2 linked regions of the Macaca mulatta genome follow. The protein of the gene in region 2 purifies or fractionates together with the protein of the main gene of each other region. This does not show direct contact. Links are inferred from orthologs where the notes say so. Each region holds a gene or a part of one and is shown on either strand. Other genes may lie near its edges.

What was found. The genes of interacting proteins can lie anywhere in the genome.
Region 1: the proteins of SRPK2 (region 2) and CLASRP purify together in Homo sapiens (affinity purification with mass spectrometry; 3 studies listed by BioGRID and IntAct, with this or other methods). This does not show direct contact. The link is inferred for Macaca mulatta from reciprocal best matches to the Homo sapiens genes SRPK2 and CLASRP.

Annotation. Positions count from the first base shown.
Region 1 is NC_133424.1:57,552,919-57,557,337, reverse strand, and holds the start of CLASRP (CLK4-associating serine/arginine rich protein), read right to left. Parts: upstream 2,812-4,419; 5' UTR 2,753-2,811; intron 1,714-2,752; 5' UTR 1,651-1,713; coding exon 1,552-1,650; intron 1-1,551. UniProt on the Homo sapiens protein: Probably functions as an alternative splicing regulator. May regulate the mRNA splicing of genes such as CLK1. May act by regulating members of the CLK kinase family.
Region 2 is NC_133408.1:144,699,779-144,702,473, forward strand, and holds the end of SRPK2 (SRSF protein kinase 2), read right to left. Parts: intron 2,217-2,695; coding exon 2,032-2,216; 3' UTR 566-2,031; downstream 1-565. UniProt on the Homo sapiens protein: Serine/arginine-rich protein-specific kinase which specifically phosphorylates its substrates at serine residues located in regions rich in arginine/serine dipeptides, known as RS domains and is involved in the phosphorylation of SR splicing factors and the regulation of splicing.

The sequences.
Region 1 (4,419 bases), on a different chromosome or scaffold from region 2:
CCACCCACCTCGGCCTTCCAAAATGCTGGGATTACAGGCATGAGCCTCCACACCAGGCCCATGTATGTGTATCTTAAGTGTGTTAAATTCCACAAAGGGGAAGGAAAGGGAGCTACGATTACGGCATCTTTAGAGGACACCTGACTGAGCTCGGGAAACAAGACTGCTCTGAGGACTGAGATCTGACAGATGAGCAGTAGTTAACCAGGTATGGGAAGAGCTCATACAAAGGTCCTGTGGCTGGGGAGTGCTTGGGTCAGTGGAGGAATAGCAAGGAGGCCAAAATGACTTGTGCAAAGGAACAAGGCAGAGTGTGGGGTGGTGTGAGTCTGGAGGAGGGGCAAAGACCAGGCCATGCAGGACCCTAAAGGCCACAGTGAGGAGCCTAGGCTTTCTCTCAAGGGTACTTAGAAGCCATAGAGGTGCTGTGAGCAAGAAAGGGACAGGGTCAGTTTTGCGCTTTAGAAAGGCCTCTTGGACTCTTCTAGGGAGGATAGACTGGAGGAGCCAGGACTGGAGGCCAGCGGACCAGAGAGGAGGCTGGGGCAGTAATACAGGAGCAAATGGAAAATGTCTATATAAATGTCATCTGACAGGAAAACTGAACCTAGTAAACAGGTGCCATTTCAAGCTGGGATCCCAAGGAGACAGAGGAGTTAAACAGGTGAGGAGGGGGTAATACAGGCCAAAGCCCCGTGGTGGCAGAAATAGAAGGCCAGTGGAGCTGTCCAAGGATGAAGCTCAGTGGTCAGACCACAAGGGTCTTTTAGGCCAGGGATAGTTTGGTCTTCCCCCCAAAACAACTGAAGCATCAAACAGGAGAGGGAAGTGGTCAGGTTTCACTTAATATTCACTCCTTTTTTTTTTTTCCTTTTTTTTGAGACAGAATCTAGCTCTGTCACCCAGGCTGGAGTGCAGTGGGGCCATCTCCGTGCACTGCAGCTTCCCCCTCCCAGGCTAAGCAATTCTCGTGCCTCAGCCTCCCGAGTAGCTAGGACTACATGCACACACCACTAAGCCTGGCTAATTTATGTATCTTTAGTAGAGACGGGATTTCACCATTTTTGCCAGGCTGGTCTCGAACTCGTGACCTCAGGTGATCTGCCCACCTCGGCCTCCCAAAGTGCTGGGATTACAGGTGTGAGCCACCGTGCCCAGCCAACTTAATACTCACTCCTATTGTGTGCCAAGCCAAACCTCAAGAGTGGCTGAGCTCTTCTGGGAATGGGGAACCCAGCAACAAGCAAAACAGACAACGTTCTGGAGGTGGCCAGTCTAACGTCAGGACTGCTCTGAGGATTACAGAGACTTCCCTTTTTCTTGCTAACACCAGATCGGCACTGGGAGGCCACACCAAACGACACAGTATGTTACAACAAACAGAAGCTCTTGGGATCCTAACAATGATTATGCTCAAGAAAAGATTAATGAATATACTCCTGAGGAAATAAGCCTCTTGTCTTGACATACTTCCAAGCCCAGATTTTACCAGGATGACCTGTGTCCCCCAAACTAGGGTCCCCCACCCCAGACGAAAGGCCAGTTACTCACGATCTTTTCATAATACTCCCGTCTCCGCTCCGCCCTCTTCTTGTAGTCGACCATCATGCCTCGAAGTTTCCGCTCATGCTTCCGAGCCTCGTGCCACATTGTGGTGAGGCCGAGCCTGGGGCCTCAACCTGAGGGATGAAGGGACCAGGAAAGGCAGATGGGCTGTGAAAACCATATGGGCAGAATCAAAGTCATCTAACAAGTTGGTGACAGAGTCGATCCCAAACAACACATCGCTTAGCTTCAGGGAGCAGAAGTGAAGCTGCAGAACGGTATGCCAGATGTTCAAGTCCATCCCTAACAACTTCGATCTGGCAACTTGGGCATTCTAAAAAACCCTTAGGTGATTCTGAGGTGAGCATCCCTGGGAAAGGGGTGTCCTACATTCCATGCGCTGGAGTCGGGGATGAAAGTTTTGAAACATCAGTAGGGTCAGTAGTTTGAAGTAGGGTCAGACGGCAAACCCTGAGCACCTAAGGCTGGAGCTCAAGGGAAAGAGAAGAGCTGAAAAGGCTCCCACTAGGGGCCATGCGTGGGTATGAGTCTGGGTGCTAGAGGGATAAGGAAGGTAAGGATGAAGGCAGGTGGAGGAAATCGGAGAAAGCCTTTAAGGGAACAGTGCAGTTGCATGAAGGTGGAGGTCGAGGACAGGTGAAGGGCGTGGCGGAAAATGAAGATGCTAGAGGGAGTAGGAACACGGGAAGAGAGTGTTGCAAGGAGACCAGAGTGAAGTTGAGGTCTAAAGATGGGATCTAGATGGCAGGGTGTGGAGAGTACCCAAGGAAAAAGAGGGTAGAGCTTGAGAGAGGCGGAGTTGGCTGACGGGAGGGCGTGGGCTGAGCTTGGGGGCAGGGCTTGTGGGAAAGGGAGGAGACCGAAGGTTTGGACAGGGCTTGTGGATCGCGTCGCGGCCTGAGGATTTGGGCTGGATTGTTTTTTTGGGTTTTTTTTTTGACATGGGGGCGGGGACTGTGATAAGCTGTTGGCCGAAGGCCGAGTCCGACGCGGCAACTTCTGGCCCACAGCCGGGGCACGGGCGCGGCCTGAGGCCCGTCAGGCCGAATGGGGTGAGGGACGAGCGATCCTCGGGGCCGGGACGCAGCAGAAGCCTACAGCAGTATGGGAAAAGCCTAAGGAAAGGGAGAAGCTGGGCTGACGCCTGCCCGAAAACCGGGAGGTCGAGCCCGCCGCCTGCACTCACCGGCTGGTCTCCGCCTCCCAAAGCTGCGCTCGCGCGCTGCCCGCACAGGAAGCGGAAATGAAAGGCCGCGCTAGGGAGAGGGGGCGGAGCGTGGTGGAGCTCTGCACAGCGCAGTTCCGCCGACGTGAGGGGCGGGTCCTAGGGTTGAGAGGGGCGGGGTCAGAGGAAGAAGCGGTAGAACCGAGAAGGGAAGAGCTTGGATGCTTTATCTTTTTATCTTTTTTAATTTTATTTATTTATTTTTATTTTTATTTATTATTTTTTTTGGATTGCAAAAATTTATTAAAATTGGAGACACTGTTTTAATCTTCTTGTGCCATGAGACTCCATCAGGCTGTCTACAAAGACCATTGGGAGGCTGAGGATCACTTGAGCCCAGACGTCTGAGGCTGTAGTAAGCTTCAGAGGGCCACTGCACTCCAGCTTGGGTGAGGAAAGACCCTGTCTTTCAAGCGGTAAGCTGCATGCTTGCTTGCTGTGGTCATTAAAAACCCTAGTTTAGGATAACAGGTCTGCCTGTTTGAAGATGAAAAATAATCCCATTTAAAATTTGCCCTACTCCATTTCCTTTTCAGTCACATTTCAACTTTTAAACAGCTAATCACTCCCATCTAGAGATTAAGATGTATATGCCACTAAAACCTTTTGCCACCTTAAAAATTTCCTTAAGGCCGGGCGCGGTGGCTCAAGCCTGTAATCCCAGCACTTTGGGAGGCCGAGACGGGTGGATCACGAGGTCAGGAGATCGAGACCATCCTGGCAAACACGGTGAAACCCCGTCTCTACTAAAAAATACAAAAAAACTAGCTGGGCGAGGTGGCGGGCGCCTGTAGTCCCAGCTACTCGGGAGGCTGAGGCAGGAGAATGGCGTAAACCCGGGAGGCGGAGCTTGCAGTGAGCTGAGATCCAGCCACTGCACTCCAGCCTGGGCGACAGAGCCAGACTCCATCTCAAAAAAAAAAAAAAATTTCCTTGAAAGTTTAAACTAACCTGCATTTCTTCAAGCATGAAATCTGAGTCCTGAAATTAAGGGACAATACACAGTAAGACAACTTGCATACAATTAAGGGTAACCCAAAATCTCCAAACACTATAGAATGACTATATTCCCCTTTTCAGGGCATAAACTAGAATGTTACAGCCATCTTTTTATCTTTTTTATTTTATTTTTTTTTCTGAGACGGAGTCTGTCTTTGTCGCCCAGGCTAGAGTGGCGCGATCTAGGCTCACTGCAACCTTTGCCTCCTGGGTTCAAGCGATTCTCCCACCTCAGCCTCCCGAGTAGCTGGGACTACAGGCATGCGCCACCATGCCCGGCTAATTTTAGTATTTTTTGTAGAGACTAGGTTTCGTCTTGTTGCCCAGGCTGATCTCAAACTCGTGAGCTCAAGCGATCCTCCCGCCTTGGCCTCCCAAAGTGCTGGGATGACAGGCCTGAGCCCCCAGCCAGGAGGCTTTCTTTGCTACGTAAGGAACTAGGGCGTTTCCCAAGCGCAGAATAGACGAAACTCCCGAGGCTCAAAAACTCATCTTTATTGGGAAGACTCTGAACAACCAACCTACCCCCCACCTTCAAGTCTGGGGAGGAAGGGCCGGGCATCTGCCCCCTCCTCCCATATGTACAATCTTTTCCGAATCCTACTGGAGAATGTTCCCCCACATGTGGT
Region 2 (2,695 bases):
TCACCCTGATAAAAATCCTTTTACCCTTAGGGAAGAAATAAATTGTGCTCTATGGTTCTTGTAAGGATGTTTCTTACAGAAATCATGGATAGTATCACCAGTCTACAGCCACTATCTATCACAGAATTTACATGGAAACCTACAGCCTCATTAGAAAAACTTAGCATGCACATTTCATAAAGAAATGAATGAATGATCCATTCTGCCTCACTGTGGTATGAGATGTAATGGTAATTCCTAAGAGGGTTATGTGTCTTGTTTCCTAACAGCAAATGCTGTTTTAAGTTTGCAATGATCGAACAAATGCAGTCAGTATGTTTTTGATGAACCATGGATGAAAAGAGATCACTGAAATTCTAAAGAATCAATCTATACTATAGCTTTTCTCCTAAATCCCTTCTGCCCTTAAAAAATAATAAATGATTTCCTTATAATAAGCCTTAATGCATGTTTTACAACTACATCTGCTGCAACAGGAATGCTGGTATTTAGTTTTAGTGACACTACTCTGATAGCAAATGTTCACTGATTCTATCATTTATAGGGCAATGACCAAGGCAATGTCTGGAAAAAAAAAAACCGAAACACTTTAATTTTTAAGACAACTGCAAGCACCTCAAACAATGGATTATTGTTACAACACTTGTTAGCTTTTCACAATCTAGTTATTGCAAAGGCATATGGATAAATGTTAATGGACAAAGTCAAAAACGAGGCACCTTAATGAATGTAAAATTTAAAATAAAAAGACATTCAATCCACTGACGTCTAAAAGAGGCTAAATATACCTCTATATATTACATTCTAAAATTGTATTGCCTACTATGGTTTGTGTCCTGGAGTCTACAATTAATTTTAAGGAAATGCATAAACAAAACTGTGTGCAACCTGCAAAGGGAAAATCATTTTCTCAACTTCATTTTATGGAAAGACAATGAAAAAGCTAGTAAAATTTGTTGTAGCCACACGTAAAGCTACCTATGGAATGAATGTGATCACTGTTACCTTTGAGCTGTGAGGAGTATTCTGCCCACTGCACTGCAAATTGTATATACCACACCTTGTGTTCTAGACAAGCATGATCATGCTTTTCAAAAAATATACGTATTTTTTCATTCCACACAATGAACACGTTTCTCTTTTCCAATTTAATCTATGTAGAGCTTAACTTACAGCGCCCAGAGGAGGCAACATGACATGGTACTGAGCCATCACATTTTTAAAGGGAAATTGCTCTTCTTTAAAAGTACTTTTAAAAATATGCAAAAATACAAATGGGACTGCTAAATTATAATGCATATTTTAGAATGAGAAGCATATATTTTCTTCCTTTAAAGTGCCATATAGAGAATGACATCTTACAACCCAGAGCCACTTTGTTTAAAATCCAATGTGAAAAGACTGTTATGGAATGAAAAGTTTGTACAACTCCTTGGAGCAGTTAAAGTCTGCTACATGCAACATAGGCTACAAAGCACTCAAGACTTGGTAGCTTTTCTGAAATTTGAGTCCCCCTCCCATATTTAATGGAAAGTAACATTTACAGGGTGCATTTACATACACTATAATACAGGAATGATGTCCCTTTGCCAGAAGATAAAATTGTACATTTCCTTGCTATTTCTTGGTTCCAACTTGATAATTTCTTAAGATTGTAAATTATATAGTACTCAGCTAAAATATTTCTTCATAAATAGTTACAAAACCTGCCAAAACACAAAGGGAAAGTATTTTTCATTCAAAAAAAGGACATTTGAATGTCACACAACACAAGAAACAATGCTTAGAGACATGTTATTGTTTCCAGAAGAAAATGGTCAGTAAACTACTTAGCTGAAGACGAAAGACTACCCTTCCCCAGGATCACAGTGCACAAAAAGCAAAATGTCAAACAACAGTACCTCAAAGCAAAATAAAGGTCTGAGGATGAAGCCAGCTCACTTGTAATCCTGTTAAAGAATGAGAGTCACCGTTTAGGTCCAATGTACTGGGAACATTTGCTAGCTCAGAATGCAATATTGGTAGAATTTGCTAAGAATTCAACCAAGGATGCCGAAGGCATTCGCCAGCTGAGGCTCGTTTTTCTGGAACCATTTCTAACATCGGGATCAGGAAATCTGTAAACTGTGCAGCATCTTCATGGGGCCAGCCATACTTTTCCACAAGTACATCAAAGAGGCTCCAGGGCTTCAGCTTGGTGATGTGTCGCAGTTCTCCTATAGGGGGAAAAACAGGCCAATGTCAAGAAAGCTCCAAATCTGCATTCCCCATTGTTGGTCCAGTCAGGCTCTTTTCAATGAAGCGGACAACCACCTGCTCAACACTTACACGGCAACAACAAAGGACACCAGCTTTTCCCCGCTAGGCAGTAATCATTACATGCACATATGACCAAGGCATATTTCAAGTAAGCCTGGTGGATGTAAATAGAGGTTAATTAATAGTTCATTCACATTAGTTCTAAGTTTCTTTAAGTAAGTGGAGTGGGCTCACTTTGCCCAGAGTGTTTTCTTTTCCAAAGGCTGAAGCAAGCCACTCTCATTTCAACCTGGGATCTTTCGTAAAATTTGCAAACTTGAGGCCAACCCAAATCAAACACCATTCATGTCTACGCATTTGTTGTAAAATCTAAGATCCTAGGACATTAATTTGTAAATCTTGAAGTTATATTTCACAAACTGTACTAGCTGCAGTA